Linked DNA regions of Schizosaccharomyces pombe. The protein of the gene in region 1 interacts with the protein of each later gene in a biochemical or structural test. Each region holds a gene or a part of one and is shown in the gene's direction. Other genes may lie near its edges. The genes, in order: sid2, pos1, klp2 and spa2.

Region 1 (6,127 bases):
TGATAACCTCACGTTCATCTCGTCGCAGTTTGTTCATGACCTTGCTGGCAAAGCTGGTGAAGAACAGTCACTTGCATGCTATGAGTTTTTCTTGGCATTGGCCCTTTGTCATAGCGTAGTTGCAGACAGAGTTGGTGACCGGATTGTCTATAAAGCACAATCGCCAGATGAAGCTGCACTCGTGGGTACCGCCCGCGACGTTGGCTTTGTTTTTTTGGACCAGCGGAGAGACATTATGGTTACTCGTGCTCTTGGAGAAACCCAAAGATTCAAATTGATGGATACTATTGAATTCAGCTCAGCGAGGAAGAGAATGAGTGTGATCGTTAAAGGACCCGATAACCGTTATGTGCTTATTTGCAAAGGTGCTGATAGCATTATTTTCGAACGTTTGGAACCAAATGAACAAGTTGAATTACGTAAAACCACTTCTGAGCATCTCAGAATTTTTGCATTGGAAGGTTTACGAACACTTTGTATCGCAAAAAGAGAGCTTACTGAAGAGGAATATTACGAATGGAAAGAAAAGTATGACATCGCCGCATCTGCAATTGAAAACCGTGAGGAGCAAATAGAGGAAGTTGCCGATTTGATTGAATCTCATCTTACTTTGCTCGGTGGAACAGCTATTGAGGATCGATTACAAGAAGGAGTACCTGATTCAATTGCATTATTGGCTCAAGCCGGTATCAAATTGTGGGTTCTGACCGGAGACAAAATGGAGACTGCTATTAATATTGGTTTTTCTTGCAATTTATTGGACGCTGGCATGGACATGATTAAGTTTGATGTGGACCAAGAAGTGTCAACACCAGAGTTGGAAGTTATTTTAGCTGACTACTTATATCGTTATTTTGGTTTGTCTGGATCAGTTGAAGAACTTGAAGCTGCTAAGAAGGATCATGACACTCCCTCTGGCTCTCATGCGTTAGTTATTGATGGATCAGTACTTAAACGAGTTTTAGATGGTCCAATGAGAACCAAGTTTCTGCTACTTTGTAAAAGATGCAAGGCTGTCTTGTGTTGCCGTGTTAGTCCGGCTCAAAAAGCAGATGTTGTTCAATTGGTACGCGAAAGCCTTGAAGTAATGACGTTAGCCATTGGAGATGGTGCGAATGATGTTGCAATGATTCAAAAAGCTGATATTGGTGTTGGTATTGTTGGTGAAGAAGGCCGTGCTGCAGCTATGTCTGCGGATTATGCAATCGGTCAATTCCGATTTTTGAGCAAGCTGGTTCTTGTTCATGGCCGTTGGGATTATAATCGTGTTGCTGAAATGGTAAACAACTTTTTCTACAAGAGTGTTGTATGGACATTTACTTTATTCTGGTATCAGATTTACAACAATTTCGACGCAAATTACCTTTTCGATTATACTTATGTTATGCTGTTTAACTTGATTTTTTCATCGTTACCTGTCATTGTCATGGGTGTCTATGATCAAGATGTTAATGCTGATTTGTCGCTTCGGATCCCTCAGCTTTACAAGCGTGGTATTTTGCAATTAAATTCAGCCAGGAAAATCTTTATTGGATATATGCTTGATGGGTTTTATCAGTCTGTAATCTGTTTCTTTTTCTCTTTTCTTGTGATTAACAATGTGACCACAGCTGCTCAGAATGGTCGTGATACTATGGCTGTACAAGATTTAGGTGTTTACGTTGCTGCGCCAACTATTATGGTTGTCGACACGTATGTTATTCTGAATCAATCAAATTGGGATGTGTTTTCAATTGGTTTATGGGCGCTCAGTTGTTTGACATTTTGGTTTTGGACTGGCGTCTACTCTCAAAGCCTTTATACATATGAATTTTATAAATCTGCTTCGCGTATATTCAGAACTCCAAATTTTTGGGCTGTTTTATGTGGAACGATTGTAAGTTGTCTTTTCCCGAAGTTTTTGTTTATGACAACGCAAAAGTTATTTTGGCCATATGATGTGGATATCATTCGCGAAAGTTACCGCACTAAACGCCTTCATGAATTGGATGAAGAAGAGGAGATTGAGAATGCCGAACAATCTCCAGATTGGGCATCTTCTACTTTACAGGTCCCTTTCAACGCATCTTCGTCAAGTTTGGCGACACCCAAGAAAGAACCTTTACGTTTGGACACAAATTCGCTTACACTCACATCAAGTATGCCAAGAAGCTTTACCCCGTCATATACTCCAAGTTTCTTGGAGGGCTCTCCTGTGTTCTCTGATGAAATACTTAACAGAGGCGAATACATGCCTCATCGTGGTTCCATTTCTTCTTCTGAACAGCCGTTACGGCCTTAAAAAATGGCAAGTTAATAAGCTGAATTATCTAATCAAGATAATCTGTGTACCCATTCTATTTCTACGCTATGCTTAAGAACATAACTTTTCATACTAAAGAATGATGAATTATCGAATAATGATTATGATGTTATAGAAACATCTCTGCATACTAAATAAAATACATGAACGTTTACATTTTTCTTCTGAAATCAAAAGATTGCATCAAATTTAAAATGTATTTTGCATTCACAGTACATTTTAAAAATAACGAGATAAATTTACTATATCTAGTTTACATTTGTATGATAAATAATAAAAACAGACTTTTTAACAATCTTGTTCTAAGTAGTAAATTTGGTGGTTGGTTTTTTAAGTTTTGAAATTTCCAGCGACTGCTGTAATCAAACTTTGGTTGCTAAGGGTAAATGGCTGATACCTAACTCCGATGGAAATGTACTCTGCCGTAAACAAAACACGTAAGGTTATTATTGACAGGAGTTTTGCATTTTTTGGGGACCAAAACGTTGGATGTTTACGATACATATTTAAAGAAAACTAATAATGAATCGTGTTAATGATATGTCACCAGTTGAAGGTGATTTAGGACTTCAGCTAAGTTCTGAAGCAGATAAGAAATTTGATGCATATATGAAGCGACATGGTCTTTTTGAACCCGGCAACTTGTCGAATAATGATAAAGAAAGGAATTTGGAGGATCAATTTAATAGTATGAAGCTTTCCCCAGTGGCATCTTCGAAGGAAAATTATCCTGACAATCATATGCATTCAAAACACATTAGTAAGTTACCGATTGCAAGCCCTATTCCGCGTGGTCTTGATAGATCTGGCGAGTTGAGCTACAAGGATAATAATCATTGGTCAGATAGAAGTTCAACGGGTTCACCAAGATGGGAAAATGGATCTATGAACTTGTCAGTTGAAGAAATGGAGAAAGTGGTCCAACCTAAGGTAAAGAGAATGGCAACCATTTGTCAAATGTTCTTTTTAGACCATTACTTTGAGCAGCTTCATTATCTTTATACCCGCAAGCAAAGAGCCCGTCTTTTTGAAGAGCAGTTGCTTAAAGAGCCTGATTCACGAAGAGACGAGCTAGTGAAGCGATACAATGGACGTGAACGAGTATATCTAAGGAAAAGGAGGACACGCATTAGTCACGGAGATTTCCAGACCATCACTCAAGTCGGACAAGGTGGATATGGCTCTGTTTGGTTGGCTAGGAAGCGTGACACCAAAGAGATTGTTGCTTTGAAAATCATGAATAAATCGGTTTTGCATAAAATGGATGAGATCAGGCATGTTCTTACTGAGCGTGATATCCTTACGACAGCCAACTCGGAATGGTTAGTTCGTCTACTTTATGCTTTTCAGGATACTTCAAACATTTATCTCGCTATGGAATTTGTTCCTGGTGGTGATTTCCGTACTTTGCTTAGCAACAGTGGTGTTTTAAGGGATCATCATGCCAAGTTTTATGCTACAGAAATGTTCCTAGCTATTGATGCTTTGCATCAACTTGGTTACATCCATCGTGACCTTAAGCCAGAAAACTTTTTGGTTGGAGCTAGCGGCCATATTAAATTGACGGACTTTGGTTTAAGTTCTGGAATAATCAGCAAAAAGAAGATTGAAAGTATGAAGATTCGTCTTCAAGAAGTCAACAATGTCGTTGTTCCCGAAAGGAGCATGAGGGAAAGGCGACAAGTGTTTCGAACTCTTTTATCTCAGGATCCTGTATACGCTCATTCAGTAGTTGGCTCTCCTGATTATATGGCCCCAGAGGTTTTACGAGGTGAAAACTACAACCACTCTGTAGACTATTGGTCTCTTGGCTGCATCATGTATGAATGTCTTTCTGGTTTTCCTCCATTTTCTGGCTCCAATGTTAATGAAACCTGGTCTAACTTGAAGAATTGGCGCAAGTGTTTTCAACGCCCTCACTATGATGATCCCCGCGATTTGGAATTCAACTGGAGAGATGATGCATGGGATTTTGTATGTCACTGCATTACTGATCCCAAGGATCGCTTTTGTTCTCTTAAGCAAGTCATGCAACATCCTTACTTCTCAAAGATTGATTGGAAAAATGTTCGTACAGCATATCGTCCTCCGTTTGTACCCGACCTTAATTCTGAGATTGACGCAGGATATTTTGATGATTTCACTAATGAAAATGATATGTCTAAATATAAGGAAGTTCATGAGAAACAAGCTGCAATTGCTAATATGGTTAACACATTTAATAAGCCTAAACGCAATGCTTTTATCGGCTTCACTTTTAGGCATCAAAAAAATAGTCATCCTACTAGCTCTAGTAGCGCATTATCTAGTCCCCTCTCTGCTCCTTCTTTCGGGACTCTATTATAATCAAAGGGAAATTTAATGACCCTTGTTCATGGTATTTTTATAAGACATCTACTGTTATTAACTATTTTCGAAGATACTGAGCTTCGCTTTTGATGTTTTGACATTTACAGTACTGTCTTTTACTATTGCATTTCACTTTCGAACGGCATTTACATTACAATTTGCGAAAGTTATCACTTTAATTTTATGATGTTTATTTGGAAGTATCCTTTTTCATTATATTATATTATATTTTTATTTATCTTCCACTATTTTATTCGTCAATATTCAGCTTTCGCCATTTATATAGAAGAACTTGCAATTACCAGATAAATTATGTAAATCATTTACTTGATAGGGAAATAGACACTATCTGCAATTTAATATCTTGAACCATTTTTACTATTTTGGAAAATTTTTGTTTTCGTGTATTATTTGTTGTTTAGTGAGCTGTAAGATATTCGTTTTGTTGGCAACAGCAGAAGAGCTGTAACATTCATCAAACTGCGATACCTCATTATCCTCGTTTCTTACTGCTTTCCTCCTAAAGCGTCTACCTTTTGCTCTTTATTTCACTCGTAAATTAATCTGTTAATGAAAGATTCACATAGCTCTCGGAGGAAGTATGAGAAGGAAAAGTTGGTATTCGCAACGAATAATGGAAAAAGAACAGAGGGTACCCCAGCTTTTTTAAAAAGCGGTAACACAGCTTCTTCATCCTCCCCTACTCTTCAATTTCGTCCTACATCGAGATATCCGACATTGAGCCATGAACCAGTGTATACGAATGTTTTGGACCTGTCTTCAAGGATTGACGCGAACAGGGCTAGTATAATGAGCGCTACAATGGGTACTCCACCTTCAGCATTGAAATTCTCCAAGAAAAAAATATCCCGGCCTGTTGTTAGTGAAGATACCTTCAAAGACAAATTGCCGCGTGCAACCATACCGGTCAAGCCGGAGCCACAGCCACAGTATAAAATTCCAGCTGCACCTGCTCCTACAAGCAAACGTGTAGTTAACCGTGGGTTAAAGCTGAACACTAATTTGAGACAGGCTTCTCCTATTTTGCCTTCACCTAGTTTAAAGTTGGATCGGCAAGATGCCCCAATACAAATAAATCATGAGCAGAAAGAAGATTTTTTGGTTTCTATTCCGCGACCAACGCCAATGACCAATTTAGATGATGGAAAGGATGAGATTGGACAACCGGATCCTCATAGAAAATATATGGCACCTCCACGTGTTAATTCTATAAGTCGTGTACAGCGTCGTATGAGTTACATACCATACGGTGGGTTTGATGACTTCTTAGATAACTATTACAAGGATGACGATACTGTACTTGAAGACAATCAGCTTAAGAGTAACTCTCGAATAGAAACTTTGGAGGAAGAAGATGGAGCAGAAAGTGACTCCATCACAAATACAGTTTCTAATGCTTCGTCAGATGCAGAACCTGCTCATCGTCATTTGGGACCAGTTTATGAAAACTCTGGA
Region 2 (5,163 bases), 3.3 Mb from region 1:
TTTGCGAATGCGTAAGAGAATTTGAGTACCGTGGGCGATAACCAAAAAGATGGTTTTTTCTTCGTTCTTTTCCGCACCATGAATTAAAGAGTCGTCAGCCCGCACTTGATGAATAAACAAATTACCACGTAAAGTTCTCCATAAAATACGTTCTAGAAATTGAAACTTCACCGTAGGAATAATACCAGAAACGAAATCTAGAGTGGTGTTCATTTGTGGACTAGTTTCTTCACTGTCAAAAGTACCAGTGGTGCCCAATTCCAGGGCGTTTTCAATTAAAGGGGCGGTGGTGTCGTCTTCACCAGAAAAGATGGAGCTAGTTTCGTAGTTGTTGCGAAGTGGATCAACCGTGTTACCACTCTTCGAAAAGAATGCATCAGCTTTTGTCAATACGTTGGCAAACTCTAACTGCTGAAGATATCGAGCCTCTAACAACTGGCTTGACTCAACCAACTGTCGTACACGAGCCTCCAGCCTAGTGATTCTTTCAATGATATCTTCGATAGTGCTGCTTTCTAAAACAGACTCATAACTAGGAGGAAGATTGTGATCTGGGACATGAATGCCATTCAAGTCGATTTCTGAGTGAAGATAGCGAAGTAGTCGCTCAGTATCAGTCAAGCGTCGAATTTCACGAACGAAGGATCGTTGAAAAGCTACAACATCAGGGTTTAACTTAAAGAGTTAGTATAAAACTTCTAAGTCTCTCTCAAAATGCAAATCCTTACATCTTTAAAATGGATAGTCGACAACTCCCCAAGTGCCGACATAATAGGTCGAGCAGACTCCGTGGGGAGGTATAACTGTACCAGGGATACCTCCTCAGATCCTAGAATGCTTATTAGTATACTTAATTTGACATATCTTTAATATTTACGTACTGAATAAAGACGGTGACATATTGGGAGTAGGTACGTAGAATGTGGTAGCAGTAGTATATACACCAACTATTTACAGTACAGCCAGTGCAATTGCGATTAGTCTATGAAACAACAGCTAAATTGTGAATTTAACTTATTTTAAGTTACGTTTTATAATAATGAAATGTTATTGAAATGAACAATGATTTTGAGTCGATAAAAATTTTCTGCTAAAATGTGCGTTAAATGTCTAGATTCGAGAGACAAATACGATGAATCTCTATCTATAAATTTGATGAAAGATATTTTACTCTCTATTTCTTAAAAAAATAAAACCATTTGTCCCCACAACTGTTTGTGAAAAAATAAAAATGAAATGCGGTAGTCTGAATGGAATTTCACAGTGTTGACTTACTGTTTGCTATAAAGTATTTAATTGATACAATCATTTCATCTCGTAGACTTTTATTTAGTGCGACGAAAAAGCATTCAGTCAAAATTAAAATGAGAAGACACTGTAGAACGAACATTGTAAGAAATTGGTTTAATGTTTTTAGAAAAAATTCTTTACCGCTTTCTTTTATTAAACAGAAACAAGATTACAGGTCTCCCTTGCTTTGGCTTTCACGGAAGTGTGTTGAATTGGATTTATAATTTAAGATCATACTTCGTGACATATACGCTGGCTATTAAGTATGCAATTAGAGCCTTAGGATTTTTTAGCTATGGTCTAAGTGATAATCAGCTTTCGTGGAAAAGTTATATTTTAATCAGAACAGTTGTCTAAGTGATCTGTGGCTGTAAAACGTTAGAAAGCCGGTTTCTCAGATAAAATACCTTAACTACAATCGAATTACTAATTACCTCAAAAAGTTTCGATTCATTTAGACTAATCTTCGTACTCATAAAATATTATTTTTACAATACATAGTTATAAACATTTGTTACTCGTTTCGCCAAGTCACAATTTCCGCTACTCATAGTAAGTACTTGGAGCTTCCATGTTTTAAGCTAGTGCCAAACGCAGTATATTTTCGACTGTAAGCGCGATGGCCTTTTCTCCAGCTAATTCCTTTTTAATTAACAAGTCGATATGTGAGAGCAAAGAAGTGGAACCTTTAGAAGCCAATTTGTTTGGCAAATTGCACAATGTATGTAAAGTTTTAAATAGAAACATTAATTCAGTGTGTTAACATGCAAAATTTAGAAATTATTAATTTGCAAAGCCAAAAAAGAAAATTTGGAAAAGAAACTGGCATATCAAATGATGTACTCGAAGCTTCTCAAATCTTTACCCAAGTTAAGCAGTCTAGAGGAGAACAAATTAACCAAACTAAAGGCTCCTATAGAGGATATGGAGAATACGAAGAAAGAGCTGGAAGAAATCAGGAAACAATCCACTGAGACAGAGTTACGTTATCTTAAGTCTCTATCGAACACTTTGAGCTTTGGTACATTATCTTTATCAAACGAGATTAACAAGGTTGGTCCTTCAGCTTCTTTTATGCTGAAGGAAGTTCATGATAGCGTACAAGTATTGGAACAACGACTTGAAAAGATGGGTCTCATCGAAAAGCCATCCGAATCTTCTGAATCCTCTATTTATTCCATCTTGGCTTCTTTAAAACATACCAACGACAGTTTACAGAAAAAAGAATTATCTCCTCATGAAATTGCCGAAAGTCCCTCTTCTCATTCGACCTCTCCAATGGGAAGAAACGTTGACACAGAAACACTGTCTTTTTTACTTATTGATTGGCAACGATTATGTGCAGAACAAAATACCTTTTTACGTGATATCACTAATAATATGAGCTCTTCTGTTCCTCAAGATGTATTATCTCAACTACGACAATTTTTCTTCCGAAGCGAGTTGTTGTCAGATAAGTTGTCAAACTTGTGCTCCGAGTCCTAGTCCTCAAATCTTTCCTATTTTCCCTTACTTATCTTTGTTCTTTCTGTCAAGCACTCACTCCTTTTACTTTAATATTTTTGTTTTCAGTCTTTTTATTAAGCCGTTACTCTCGTTATCCCTGTTTTATACTTTTAAGTCATCAGGTCCATTCGTTATCATTTTACTACTGTATTTCAATACGTTCTTAACATTAATTTTTTTAACTTTTTTGTCTCTTCTTATCAATTGAAAGGCTGAATTGGTTTATTTAGCATCGTCGTCCTTTTTAAAGACCTCACTCTTTTCTTGGACATCTACCTTTCCTACCAAATTTGTGTCTTACTAATTTTTTTTTTAATTCCCGTTCAATACATGATTTTCCTTGTTACATTACTAAAACAATCGCTCTACTTAATTTATTTACCAAATTTGCAAGCTTGCCTTTTGTAATCGTTTTAATATTGGGATGGTTGGAGATATCCCTTCATTTTTTTAGCAATGAAATTTCAGTTGCCAGCTATTTTATCGTCATAATATCTCCGTTTCAAAAGACTTAGCAGTAGGATTTTCTATCAAATGAACTGAAGAAACAAGTATATTTACCGTAATACATTTACGATACGCTATTCGATTCAACTGATCGCCAAGTGTCTCACTATTACCTTAGTACCTTGTCAACTATACATACTGTGATTTTATCAATTGCAGTAAAACAGCAACTTATTTTAGACAATTTTACTTTGGAGTCAGTTTTAATTTTTATATTTAATTCCAAAGAAACTTCAGGCTTTTTTATGTTTAAGAAATCTTGAAATTGGGTTGTTGGTTTGAATTTCCATTAATTGTTCAAGCATTGGACTACATGCGAGTACTTATACTTTTCTAGCAGTTAAAGGAAATTTTATTTTCTGTATTTTACTGCATTAGGAAGGAGTCTCGAGAAGAAGTTATCAGTTATGGCCTACTTTCAGGATCGCAAAAGTATGTAACGATTGAAAGAAATTTAGAACACAAAAACGCCATTTATGTGTATGCAATTAACTAACTAACTTCTAAAAGCATCCTCTAGGTCTCTTCCTTCTTACATCAATCACAGCACCCAAAACCTTGTAGGTCCTCGTAAAGATGAGACTAATCTGTCAGAATACATGAAACTTAGGCTTTTACAGTCTCCGTCACAAGTTATTTATAATTTAGAAAATACGGTTTCATTATACAGACGATGTCTAAATCTCCGGAAGCGATTGATGGATATATCAGAGTTGGCTGCTTTCTTTGACAGTATTCATCGTGAAGCCTTGAATAGCTCTTTCAAAATACTGGAATTTAAGGACATTGAATTTGATGATCCAGTTACGGAAATTTGGCTGTTTTGTCGTTTAGGTTATCCATTGTGTGCCCTGTTCAATTGCTTGCCAGTTAAGCAAAAATTGGAAGTTAATAGTTCGGTTTCTTTGGAAAATACGAACGTGTGTAAAGCTAGTTTATATCGTTTCATGCTCATGTGTAAAAATGAACTTGGACTCACAGACGCCGCCCTTTTTTCCATATCAGAAATTTATAAACCCTCGACAGCTCCACTTGTTAGAGCTCTTCAAACCATTGAACTTTTATTGAAAAAGTATGAAGTTTCCAATACCACAAAATCATCTTCTACTCCTAGTCCTTCTACTGATGATAATGTACCAACAGGAACTCTTAACAGCTTGATTGCATCTGGCCGTAGAGTCACTGCCGAATTATATGAAACCGAATTAAAATACATTCAAGATTTAGAATATTTGTCCAACTATATGGTCATACTTCAACAAAAACAAATTCTATCCCAGGACACTATTCTCAGTATATTTACGAATTTAAACGAGATTTTAGACTTTCAAAGACGTTTTTTGGTTGGTTTAGAGATGAATCTTTCGCTTCCTGTAGAAGAACAACGACTAGGCGCACTCTTCATTGCCTTAGAAGAGGGATTTTCTGTTTACCAAGTGTTTTGTACAAATTTTCCGAATGCTCAACAACTGATCATTGATAATCAAAATCAGTTACTGAAAGTTGCGAACCTGCTTGAGCCCTCTTATGAATTACCAGCTCTGCTGATTAAGCCTATACAGCGTATATGTAAATATCCGCTTCTCTTGAATCAATTACTAAAAGGTACTCCCTCAGGTTATCAGTACGAAGAGGAACTAAAACAAGGAATGGCTTGTGTAGTTCGTGTAGCAAACCAAGTTAATGAGACTCGTCGTATTCATGAAAACCGAAATGCCATTATTGAGCTTGAACAACGTGTGATTGATTGGAAAGGATACTCTCTTCAATACTTTGGACAACTGCTAGTTTGGGATGTTGTTAATGTATGCAAAGCCGATATAGAAAGAGAGTATCACGTTTACCTTTTTGAAAAAATTT
Region 3 (6,485 bases), 1.5 Mb from region 1:
GTTTTTAAAAACAAAAGATATGAAAGATATTTTAGTCAGTAAAATGCATTTGTTAGTTTTGCCGGCTTCACAGTCAAAACCATGTTTTCGGTTGTATAAATTAGATATGTGGTTTGCTCCACCAATTTGCCTCCCGCTTATTTCTCTCAACTTGCACGCACACAGCAAACTCGAGCCGTTCTCTTGAGAAGCAAGGATTTCTTCCGTTGAATTTATTTAAAGCTAACGCTATTCAATTATTGATTAGCCTTGTTGATTTCTTCATGCTAATATCGTAAAAAAAAGGTGTAGAAGTTGCGGTTGGCTTTCTTTAGTCCATTTTGGGTCATTTTTCCCCAAAAATTAAATTTGTTAAATTAGAAGTTCTTTTCATTTTCTTCATCCATACCCTCTTCTCAAAGGTTTTGTGCAAGATTCCTTAATCTTGGTAAAGGTATTTTTTTTAAATTTAATTTCATTCCATTTCATACCTTGTTTTTTTTTTTTTGGATATTTTCAGCACTTTTTAAATTGTGATGGGTATCAATACGTCTTCTGCTCAGAGTTCAGGGGCTGCTTCCATCGCTCGAAGTTCTGTAAATGTGAAGTCTGGAAATCGGCATTTATCATCTAATAAGAAATCAGCCACTTCAGCTCTAGAAGAACGGGCTTCTCGTCCCTCTATTCTTGTCACATTTCTTGTTTTGGCAGGCACAATACTTTCTTTATACATCTGGCCAATTTTATCTCCCGACCTTTTTTTTGCAAATCAACGGTGCTCCTTCAAATATAAAAACAAAGGCTCGCAGAGAGTAGTAGTTGAAGGAAAAAATGGAGTTGTGGCTACGGAGGAAGAGACATGCTCCCAAATTGGTGTTGGCATCTTGAAGGCCGGTGGAAATGCAGTGGATGCGGCTATCGCATCGGGAATTTGCATTGGAGCTGTCAATTCATTTTCAAGTGGTATTGGCGGTGGTGGATTTATGTTAATACGCCATCCAAATGGTACAGCACATTCCTTGAACTTTCGCGAGACTGCTCCAGCGGGTGCCAGCAAAAATATGTTTCATGGTAACTCTACCCTGTCACAGGTAGGTGGTCTTTCCGTTGCCGTCCCTGGTGAAATTGCTGGCTACGAGCGTGCTTGGAAAATGTATGGCTCTCTACCTTGGCATAAGTTGTTTGAACCAACCATACGTCTTATGAGAGATGGAATGCCAATGCCCAAGGAACTTGCGTCTCGCATCAGACGACCCGAGTTTTCCTATTTCAAGACTCATCCAGATTGGTCTAAAATATTTGCTCCAGAAGGTGTTTTTTTACACGTTGGAGAAAAGTTTTATCGGCCTGCTCTAGCGTCTACCCTCGAAGAAATAGCTAAGTTTGGTCCTGAAGTGTTTTACACAGGAAAAATTGCAGAAAGGCTTGTAAAGTTTGTTCAACAGCAAGGAGGTATACTAACCATGGAGGATATGGCCAATTTTTCAGTTGTTGTGGAGGAACCTATTTATGGTAACTTCTATGATCGTGAGGTTATTACTTGTGGATCCCCTTGTAGTGGAGAGGCTTTGATTTTAGGTTTAAATGTTCTTTCAAAAGTAGATTTAAGTGAAGGTACTTCTATCCTTGGTTGTGAAATGACGGATATTGGCGTGCACCATCTAATTGAAACAATGAAATGGATGTCCGCTGGACGGACTGTATTAGCAGACCCAACTTTTTACAATAATACAGATCATGTTGAACAGTTACTTTCTTTGGAATATGCTGATGAAATTCGCAATAATATTTCTAACGAGAGGACTTTTGATTTTACTCACTACAAGGCCGAATACGATTTCCCTAACGATCACGGCACTACTCATCTTTCCGTTATCGACAAAGACAATATGGCAGTCGGACTCACAGCTTCTATCAATTTGATGTTTGGTTCACAACTTTTGGAACCTGAAACGGGTATTATACTGAATGATCACATGGACGATTTTGCTTCTCCAGGAATAGTGAATGCTTTCGGTTTGAGTCCATCGCCATACAACTTTATTGCCCCTGGTAAGCGACCACAAAGCTCCGCGGTGCCTACGATTTTGGTATATAATGGTGAAGTTGAAATGGTTCTTGGTGGTAGCGGTGGCAGCCGAATCGTGACAGCTGTGTTAGACACAATTATTAAAAAATATAAATGGGGCAAGTCATTGTTAGAATCTGTTGAGAGTCCTAGATTTCATCATCAGCTAATGCCTAATATCGTCTATATCGATGAAACTGTTGAAATTGAAGTTCTTAGAGCTTTAGAAAAGTTTGGTCATATAGTGGATTTAATCCCCGTTCAATATCCTTTCAGTGAAATTCAAGCTGTTTTCCGCACCAACGGCACATTGTACGGTTTAAGTGATAGCCGAAAACAGGCTGTTGCTGCTGCCTATTAAAATTTCACTAAATTATTAAAAAAAACTCCTTAGACGCTCACAAAATTTTCCTTTATTTGTTGTTATTAATTTATCAGGTTTATTAACTTATTCTCAATCTTTATGTGCTTTTTACTGATCTTTAGCTTGTGGCTGGGATGAGAGAAAAATATTATAAAGCATAAAACGTATGAATGATCACTGTCTACATATTTGTGCACATGATGGTGATGATTGGACCTTCGTTAGTTAGATAGATTACATTCTTTCCTAGATTTAGAAAGTTTTAGCAAAACGAAGAACAATTACATTTAACTTTCGAATTTATTCTAACCGTAACATAATATATCTTCATACTTTAAACGTAAAACAGTAAAATATTTCTTTCGATGTACGAATGGCAAATATTCCTTTACTAATTAAAAATACTTTACTGTGTTAATTAATACTAAATCATTAAATTGAATTAAAGATTCACATAATATCGGATATTTGCTTTTGACCTTCGTGGTCCATGGAATACCACCATACAAATTGTTGAATAGTGAACTTTTGATTTAAGCTTATGAAACTCAACTTCTCTAACACCTTACAATACCCACATGTTTTTGGGGAAAAGGAGAAAGTATGGAAGAAGAAGGACATAAAAGTTTAACTGTAAGAACAAATTTAAGTGTAATTTATTAATTTTTTTCCTTATAGTCGCATCTACCTCAGTCCTCGAGTTCTTTGTCGCAAAGTCGAGAAATTGCTAAAGAATTTACGTCTAATATACCTCCTCCGACTATTAAAACTAATTCATCTTCATCAAATATTCTGAAACCTCGGTTATCATTGCAAAATGAAGTTAACCAACTGAAACCTGCTAAATTTCCCAGTAAGATGTTACCACCAGGAAGCTTAGCCTCGGTTAAATCTTCTAGTCTTGCAAAAAAAGCCAGGCCTTTTACCGCGTCCTCTAATCCCAGGATGCCCAAGTCTGCACATCCCATTTCAAGTCGGTCAGTGTCTGCTTCTTCTCATTTTGGTAGACCTGCCAGTGCTGTTTCATCCAGTTTAAATAGTAGCGATGATGTGAGAAGTATGTCAGATGAAAGTATGGAATCTTATAATGATGAAAAGTCTGTTAATGCCAGCGCCTTAAGGACTACAGAAGACCGGTTGAGGAGTATGGAAATGGCTTATGCTCAATTATCGGCTAAAGTTATTCCTTCACCCTCAAAAAGACCAGCTAATTACAAATTTTACGAACAGAGAATTGCTATGCTTGAAGAATCATTAGAAGTCGAGAGGAGTCGTACATCGGAGTTACAAGAACAATTTTCAGTGGCTCTGAGAGAAAAAGCTGAGGCGGAGGCTAATAAAATCGTTTCTCAAAAGGGTATGGAGAGTTTGGAGATAATGTTAAACTCAATGAAAAGTGAAAATCATCAGCGCATGGCCATGTTGGAAGAGAACCATGCTCGGGTGATGGAGACAGCTGAGCTTCAGCATCAAGCAGAATTACAGGATTTTGCTTCCAATATTGAACAAAAAGCAAATAGTTTAATCATGGAGTACAAAAATGAATTGCAGTCTGCCGAAGAACACTTTTCACACAAGATTAAAGAGCTTACTTCAGAAAATGAACTCAAAATTTCCAGACTACAAGAGGAAAAGGATTCTTTATTAAAGAAAGTTCAGGAGGGCGCTTCGCTGGCTATGCAACGTGTCCAAAATAAGCATGATCTAGAAAAAAAAAGACTGCAATCTGCAATTCAACCGCTTCAGGAAGAAAATAATTCTTTGAAACAGCAGATTGAACAATTACAAAGAGAACTTGCTTCTGAAACAGTTGTTAAGGAAAATCTGAAATCTTCGTTGGACCAACAAAGTGCCAACGTTCAGAAGCTTGAATCTACAAATCGGGCTTTAGAAAGCACTATCAAAACACTTGAAGAAGATGTTTATACTATGAAAAATAAGATTATAGAACTAGAAGGCATTTTAAAATCTGCCAATGTTGAGAGAGACGGTTTAGTTGAGAAACTCATAGCTGAGGAAACTCTGAGAAGAAAACTCCATAATACCATTCAAGAACTTAAAGGTAACATACGCGTTTTTTGTCGAGTGCGACCTCCCCTTGGCGATGGAGAATCAGCACAAATAGCTTTTCCTGATCAAAATTCCGAAGCTAGTACTATAGAGATTGTTGCTCAAGCCCCAGGGTCTTCGTTAACAGGGAACGGGATAAAACAGTATGCCTTTAATTTCGATCGTGTATTTTCCCCTGAAACGACTAATGAGGATGTATTTAATGAACTGTCACAGTTAATTCAAAGTGCTATGGACGGATATAATGTTTGTATATTCGCTTACGGTCAAACAGGTTCAGGCAAGACGCATACGATGTCTTCAAATACAGGAATGATCCCTTCATCTGTAAGAATGATATACAATCGCTCTACTTCTTTGAAAGAACGAGGTTGGGAATATCGGATGGAAGGACAATTTCTAGAAATATACAATGAAACCATTATTGACCTTTTAGCCTCCGGAAATGAAGAAGAGAAGGGAAAGAAAAAACTGGAGATATATCATGACACGAAGGCCGGAAGGACGACTATTACCAATATAACCAGCGAACCGTTAGACACACCTGAGCAGGTAACCTGGTTGTTAGATCAAGCTTCGAAGAACCGTTCTGTTGCGGCTACCAATGCTAATGAACATTCCTCAAGATCGCATTCAGTTTTTATGCTACACTTGAATGGAAGCAATTCTACGACAGGTGAAACATGCAGAAGTACGCTTAATTTGATTGATCTGGCTGGATCCGAAAGACTTTCGAGTAGCCAAAGTGTGGGTGAACGTTTGAAGGAAACGCAGGCAATCAACAAAAGTTTAAGTTGTTTAGGAGATGTAATACATGCTTTGGGAAGTGGAAAGGAAGGAACGTACATTCCGTATCGAAATTCCAAGCTGACTAATTTGTTACAATATTCGTTGGGAGGAAATAGTAAAACTCTCATGTTTGTCAATATTTCCCCACTAAAACAGCATGTTCCCGAAACATTATGCAGTTTGAGATTTGCAACAAAGGTAAATAATACTCAAATTGGCACAGCACGCAAAGTCACAAAATGAACGGAAAGCACCAACAGGATGGCTTGAGGATTGTTGTTTATAAGGAGAGCTGTCTTTTCCGTTTTTGTAAAATATACAGATCTGTTTGCTCTCTTTTGTATACTTTGAAAATAATTTTTATGGGCCTATAAAGAACCACAAGTCAGAACTATTATCGTTTTAATGGACGTATACATACAAGTAAGCGTTCATTTCCAACTCACTCTTTTTTTTTATATATTCGAATACGCTCTTTAGGTTATATGTGTTCTTTCCTTTGAATGTTTTCAAATTTTACCATTATATTTTATGTTTTCTATAATAGTATTGAGCAAATATTTTCTTTTATGACTAGACCCTAATGACATTCCAACTTACTTAGTACGGTGGTTTATAATTCGCTCAAAATGAAGTCATATCTCATAAAGTATGTTCAAAAGTATAGTTAATCTTAGAAAGTAACTGACTACAAAAATTGTTCCAAGTGACTTTTGGATGAAGCAAAGGTGAGCAATTAAATTTCACAGATGAATTACATTTAGGAGAAAAGATCAAGTATCCAAAAATATAATATTACTAGCTATTTTTTTTTTCTCAAACTTGGCAGTTCCTTTAATTCTCTCTTGATAATAAAAATATTAGAAATTCTACTACCCACTGTATATTTTATTCCTTTCGGAATGTTCTTCAGATTGACCCAAGAAATATAGAATAAGCTAAAATTAACAGATTATACTTTATTTTCTTTAATAATTGTACTAATTTCGGTTTCTTAATTGCTACTTAATCCACTTAGTGGGATTATAGGAATTTCCATAAATTTTCCACTGCCAATCTTGAATACATTTCCTTTTTTTCTCTTTCATTTGAATGCTTCTATCCCTTTTCAGTAAATACTGAGGTGGCATTTTTCTATATCTTGCCAATAGTCCAATTCTTTTCCATTTGTTTATCAAATACTGAATTATAACGAGAGCAACATTAAGCATTTTT
Region 4 (6,402 bases), 3.0 Mb from region 1:
TTTCCACAATGGTTTGTCATAATCGTTTGACACGAAAGCAAAGAAAATTGCGCTGTGATTAAGTCTACTCAGTTAGCTCAAGAGATCAAAAGAAATAACAGTTTTGTCAGTGTTAGTGGTTTTAATTATGATAACCGTAACAGCTTTGACATTCTTCATAGCAGACGAATAATTGAGACTATTTGATCACAATAACTAAATTAAAGCTCTATTTTGAAGCGAAAGAGAAAAAGAAATATAGACTGCTTACCGTTTATTAAGCCTGAATTGCGCGATCAGTTAACTGAAACATATGGTATATTAAAAAGGAGAAGTCTGTTTGGCGTAAAGTCCAGCGAACGAGAAAAGCTTTAGAAAAGGGGAACGAAATCACTAGATTAGGATTATACCGTGACGCTGCAAGATCATCGTCTACTTATGGGAAGAGCCGATTTGCCAGTTAGCACGTATGGTTTTTCTGACGGATTCTTTGTATATAAAACATGTGAATATGTTTCTTTTGATATAGAAATAGCATCTACGTCTTTTACTTATTGGATATGGTTTGCATGCATTATAGCAACGTAGTCCTTCTTTGCATAATATGATGTGCCTTTACATTTTCTTTTTTTTTTCTTATTTACTGACTATATTTAAGGCAAGTCACTAACTGTTTCGATTCGCAAAATTAATGAGTACTGTTGAATGTCATATTTCACTTTAAGAAGCTTACTGAGTGAACCTGATTTTTGTATTTTCTACTAACGAAAAACTGCATTAACCACACAGTAACTTTATAGCTTTTCAAGACAAAATTACATACACCGATTTTATTTAGGCTGGTCATATATTTTTCAGTATCCGCGATATCTTCAACTAAGCTAATCATTATTGTCGTAAACGTTTTACACACGATCAGACAAAATTAAAAGGTAGCTAGGGTTTTGTCTACAGTGGTACTAATTCAATAACTGAAGTTGTATCCTTTGGACAAATGCCTAAAGTCATCATTTCGCGTTGAATTAAAATTGGTTAAGTTATGCAAAATATATACTAAATCGAATTTATTGAAACAGTCACAAAGATTGAAGACCTACCCTATATAATACTCAAAACTTGGAAATCTTAAGCGATAAATGAAATGAAAGAGTATGGTATGTACGAAACTACTCTAAGTAGATCAGCTCAAAACTTAATGCTTCATACGCCAGTTTGTATGTTTGAACTTTATTCATTTTGAGATTAACAGCCAAGAATTGTTGATTGATCCAACCGCAAATTTTGTTTGACAATACAATGATTTCTCACTAATTTTATACGGCTTTTTAAAGTGCTGGCGATGAGTAGTTTTATTATTAATATTATAATAAGGAGTTTTTGAATTAGGCATAATTTTGTAAAGTTAACAATCATTAATGTAGTATGGGTAGTGGAGTATAGACGTATTTATTCAAACCCTATCTTTGAAAAATTGCTATCAGACGAATACAACGTGGAGAATTTTTATTTTTATAAAACATTTAAGATAATTAATTAAAGTAGAAATTATACTCTGCAAAGATGAGATTCATTTCAAGAGCCTCTGCTTTTGTGATGCAACATATCGATATATCGCATCGTAAAGCAGCGTGGTAATTTTGAAAGGCTGTTGCTTACAGCGTGTCATATTGTATACACTGCAAAGAACGAGTTTGGACCTTTGGCTGTATGTCTAATTTAGTAAGATAAAAATCTTGCAATAATAAAGAAAGGAAAGTAAAACCTTTTAAAGCCTTACCAACGTTAGTCAGTAAACAATAATACCAAATAATGGCTCCCAAAACCAACCTCCAGATCAGTGTAATTTGTGCTTCGAACCAAAATCGAAGTATGGAAGCTCACAACGTCTTAAAGTATGTCATTTTTGAATTTTATGAGGTAGTTTGCTAATCTCCATTGAAGGAATGCTGGATACCAAGTTGATTCGTTCGGAACAGGTTCAGCTGTACGGTTGCCGGGTCCCAGTATTGACAAACCTAACATTTATCAATTTGGGTATCCATATGATGAAATTTATAAAGAGCTCGAGGCCCAGGATTCCCGGCTATACACGGCCAATGGATTGCTTAAAATGCTTGACCGAAATCGCCGTATAAAGCGCGCTCCTTGTCGGTGGCAGGACCAAGATTCCATATACAACATTGTAATAACCTGCGAAGAAAGATGTTATGATGCCATTTGTGAGGATCTGTATCGTCGAGGTGAAACATTGAATCGACCTGTGTACTTAATAAACGTTGACATTAAAGATAACCATGAGGAGGCCAGCGTAGGTGGAAAGGCCATTCTCGATTTAGTCAACAAATTAACCGAGGCACAGGATAAATTGGAAGAGCTGTTCCCTTCTATAATGGCCGACTTTCAATCTAACCATCCTAAACTTCCTGTATTGTATACTATTCATTTTTTTTAATATCATTTATCGTTACACGTCGTTATCGAATTTAATAAAGCATGTCCTTTCTCCTAGTATATCTACAACGTTCTAAGTAATAAACACAGTAAATTGGCAAGGACGCAAAGCTGTCAGTAATATTTTTAGATAGAAGATTTCTCTTCGCACTCGTTTGCCTGTTAATGTGTTTGGCAGTACATTAGGCATTTTAAAGACTTTTTCTTTAAAAATTTAATTCACAGAAAAATTATATCAAATTAATTTAGGGTCCAGCACGTCCTTGCCCATTGTATTAGTACAACTGCCTTAAGTTAATTTACACAGTCTATCTTTTTCAAGTCAGCGTAAAAGAAAGGACATATCATTTAATTCCCTGAAAAAGATAGAAAGCTCATTTTTTCCAACTTCTTTCCTCAAATCCCTAGTCTTAAATTTGCTTTCAAACTATGCAAAGTATTATTATTCGTCAATATCGGTTTTTAGCTCGTTACTTAGAGCCTGAATTTGTTAAAGGTATGTTAAAAATTGGTTTAAAATTAAGCTGTACAATTGCTTTGACCCACGGAAACAATGTAATCACCTCTAACGCTATTTTATAGACCCAGCCCTAAGGAACGCCAATGCGAGGCCACGTGAAAAGCTTCAGCGTTTGTCTCATATTCAGTTCAGTGAACTTTTAACAGACGTTGCTGATGAACTACAGCGTAGGATCAACAATGATCCCAAAGGTATTTTGATTTACACTCTTATGAGTCTACAATTCTAACCCCTTATAGTCAGATTCTTACCTCCTGTTGATTCTTATCATCCCAAGCGGAATCATGCTCGACAAAAACTTTCTAGTCTTGCTCCTACAAGGCTTCGGGATCTTTGTATGGATGTGTTTTTTGAAGTTCAATCAAGATATAGTGGTGCTTTAAAAGAAGTTTCTTCAAATACACCACCAAACATGACTAGAGCTGCTTCTCAGCCTCCTCCTCAGGTGCAACGTTTACCTGCTTCCGCTCCCAAGCACGATCTGTATAGCAGTGCCAACGCCTCTTCCGCTTCCCTTCATCCAACTGAACAAAGAACCACAAGCTCTCCCACTATACCAAGTTATGCTAATAGAACGCATACTGATTCTCCTACTTCCTTGTCTCATCGTCTACCGAATGTTCCAGATACCAATGCTTTAAATACTGTTCAAGCAAATAATTCCTCTACCTCGTCATTGAGCCAGGGTGCTCAGACGGGAATTGATTCTTCGTCAAATTACTTGAGTAGAATTGAGATGTTGGAAAGTAGTTTGGCAAAATCGAACTCTTTGCTTGACAGCTCAAAATCTGAAATGGAGGCTTTAAAAGCCAAAAGCATTTCTGATGCTACGAAACATAAGAATGAAATCTTTCAATTGGAGGAAAAGCTTCATGAGGCATCCCATGAGGCTGAAATTTCAATAAAAAAGCTAAACGATGCTGAAAATCGAATAAAAGAGCTCGAAAACAACCCAACGCTTAGTTTTAATCCTGAGTTGGAAAAAAACCTAAAGCTAATGCAAGAATTGATTGTTGCCGAATCTTCAAAAACCCAGCACATTGTCGAATTGGAAAGCTGTATTGACTCCTTGAAGGCCGAAACGGAACGCTGGAAAAAGGTTGCTATCAACGCGAAGTCCGCAAAAATTGACGAAGATATAAGATTGTTTACCATGACTACTGTTCCAATGAAGTCTATTCGGGAACTGATTTCACCCAATGGATTTTTAGATGAACAGCTTTATATTCGTTATTTCGTTGAAATGAATGTCTTTGTGGCATCTTTAAGAAGGGATAGCCCTTCTCAGTGGATGTCTACTGCTAAGGATATTGCTTTGACTTTGGAAGCCATTGTTTCCAGTTTGCGGGAGAAGTCGCTTTTAGAAGAGCTTCCCGATTTAGGAAAAAAGGTTGATGATTTATGTTCGTTCACAAATAGTTTAATGGAGCAAGTAAGACTCGCTGTAATAAATGGTGCCTTACTTCCCATTTATCACGTCGATGCTTCTGCTTGCTCTATAAGTATCAGTCTTATGGACATTGCAAAAACCTATGGACTTACCAACACGGGAAAATCTTCTCTTTCGGTCGGAAGAAATTCACTTCATCCGGTTGACGATTTGAAGGCATTATCTGTTGCAAAAACCTTGCTTTCCGAAAAATCTAAACAATTTAGTGAGACCAATCAAAAGCTTTTGGATGCTATTAGCAGTGATAGTTCTTCGTCTACCATCCAGCAAAGAGTTCATGAAGACATCAACGTTATACGTGACACACTTTTTGATGTATCTTCACCGTTAGAACTTATGCGGGATCGTGCCGCGTACGCGGTAATTCATAACGCTCTTCAGGAAATGCGAAGATATTGCATGCAGTTAATTGAGCAAGAAGGACATGGTGAAAACTTTGGATTTACAGACAACAACTCCGTACCCCCTCTGACTGATCTCGCCTTTTCTGCGGCCAAATGCTTTAAAGATATTTTACGGGCTATCGAAGATGCGGAATTTAGCGTCCAGCGGACACAATTCTCCACCCGTTAAAGCAACAAATGTTGATATAACTAATTTGCGAAGCTACATTGGTTTTCTCCACCTTGTTTATATTCTATAATATTGTTGAATTCCGATATCAATGGTTGCTCCCACCAAACCTCTTTTTCAGCTGTATAAGCTAATCCCTCAATTTTATTTTGGCTTCAAATGATGAACTTTGTCGGGTAAATCAATGTTTACCACTAACTGGCTATACATGCCTATAATCACTCTTTGTTATTCATTTTTGTTAATTTTCTATTCTTTACCAAGTTTAATTATACTAAATCGATCAATTTTTTTAATTGACATTAAAAGAATTCTCATAAGTACGTTTTTTACTGTTTTCGTGATGTTGTTAGAGTATCGTAGCTATATCAGCGATTTCAAACAGAGATGGATAATCTGAATTAGGATGTCCCGAACATTTTCTATCTGACATAATTTGTATGCTCTTACCATATATAAATTTTAGTAGTACATAAAACATAAACTTGTCAACGACGGCTTAATGTGTAGTGCTTTGAATCCGATGCTCACCGTTTCACCGTAGCACTCGCGTATCGCCAGTTACTTTACCTACTGCCAACACACCAACAAAGCTGTAAGATGTCAAAGCTTGAAGCCCTTCAAGTTTTCCTGCTTGAAAAGCTAAACGAAAAAAATGAAATTCCAAACACCAGTCATTTGGAATTCGATGGGAAGAAGTTAGGTCCTCAAGAAGCTCAATCGGCGATTTTGTCATTAGCTGCTAAAAACATGATTGAATTTTCAAGACATGAAATTGAAATTTACAATTTGACTGCAGAGGGTGAAAACATTTGCGCAAATGGTTCTCATGAAGCCAAAGTTTATAATGAAATTTGCGCTTCTATGAGCGGTTTAAATATTGGGGAACTCAAGGTAAAGTCATTGGAATCGTAGTTGTGAACGACGAAGCATTTAAATATAATTAAGTCTAAACGCCCGGTAAATATTGTTAGTTTTTTTTTTCTAGCATTATGTTGCATTTTCGATTTTTCGCGTTTTGATGCAACACCTTTTCATATCGCTACGTCTGCCTTTTAGTTTTTTTGTACTTTTTCTAACTGATTTAGAAAAAATTGGGGAATTCGGCTGGTATTGGTCAAGGAAGAGCCTTTAAACTCGGTTGGATTAAGAAAGATGGAGACAAGCTTGTTAAAAATGTAAGGCAAAGTTATAGTAGTGCAAATTGATTTAACGTTATGCAATATTTTATTTACTAACTGACCAGACTGATTCCATTACAGATGAGACCCCTAAGGTCCTTAGTGAAATTAAGGAACATGGAACTATCTCTGACAGTAAGACGTTAACTGATTTGAAGAAGAGAAAGCTTGTTGAACGTAACAAAATTATGTACTTCTCTTTGAGGAAAGGTCCAAATTTCTCGCTTCAAATTGAAAAACTGAACACC

What was found.
Region 2: of the proteins of sid2 (region 1) and pos1, one has a biochemical effect on the other in vitro, tested with the Schizosaccharomyces pombe proteins (one study listed by BioGRID).
Region 3: of the proteins of sid2 (region 1) and klp2, one has a biochemical effect on the other in vitro, tested with the Schizosaccharomyces pombe proteins (one study listed by BioGRID).
Region 4: of the proteins of sid2 (region 1) and spa2, one has a biochemical effect on the other in vitro, tested with the Schizosaccharomyces pombe proteins (one study listed by BioGRID).

What each region holds. Positions count from the first base shown.
Region 1 is NC_003424.3:220,550-226,676, reverse strand, and holds sid2 (serine/threonine protein kinase (NDR family) Sid2), read left to right. Parts: upstream 1-2,723; 5' UTR 2,724-2,824; coding exon 2,825-4,648; 3' UTR 4,649-4,983; downstream 4,984-6,127. Other genes in the region: dnf2 (phospholipid-transporting ATPase), read left to right, coding at 1-2,281; cfh1 (chitin synthase regulatory factor-like Chr3), read left to right, coding at 5,222-6,127. UniProt on the Schizosaccharomyces pombe protein: Part of a signaling pathway. Required for initiation of medial ring constriction and septation.
Region 2 is NC_003424.3:3,512,120-3,517,282, forward strand, and holds pos1 (protein Pos1), read left to right. Parts: upstream 1-1,878; 5' UTR 1,879-1,909; coding exon 1,910-2,011; intron 2,012-2,067; coding exon 2,068-2,775; 3' UTR 2,776-3,296; downstream 3,297-5,163. Other genes in the region: vph1 (V-type ATPase V0 subunit a), read right to left, coding at 1-675, 729-829, 882-900; RhoGEF Scd1, read left to right, coding at 3,711-3,735, 3,814-5,163.
Region 3 is NC_003424.3:1,718,981-1,725,465, forward strand, and holds klp2 (kinesin-14 family minus-end directed microtubule motor Klp2), read left to right. Parts: upstream 1-2,973; 5' UTR 2,974-3,014; coding exon 3,015-3,044; exon of another isoform or gene 3,045-3,089; coding exon 3,090-5,513; 3' UTR 5,514-5,922; downstream 5,923-6,485. Other genes in the region: gamma-glutamyltranspeptidase Ggt1, read left to right, coding at 516-2,408. UniProt on the Schizosaccharomyces pombe protein: Minus end-directed microtubule (MT) motor that is involved in spindle microtubule shortening, kinetochore capture, and polarization of cytoplasmic microtubules. During mitosis, promotes spindle microtubule shortening by depolymerization.
Region 4 is NC_003424.3:3,172,517-3,178,918, reverse strand, and holds spa2 (GTPase-activating protein), read left to right. Parts: upstream 1-2,577; 5' UTR 2,578-2,859; coding exon 2,860-2,926; exon of another isoform or gene 2,927-3,012; coding exon 3,013-3,141; exon of another isoform or gene 3,142-3,189; coding exon 3,190-4,973; 3' UTR 4,974-5,296; downstream 5,297-6,402. Other genes in the region: RNA polymerase II CTD phosphatase Ssu72, read left to right, coding at 1,789-1,871, 1,921-2,431; phenylalanine--tRNA (Phe) ligase alpha subunit Frs2, read left to right, coding at 5,574-5,867, 6,062-6,151, 6,220-6,402.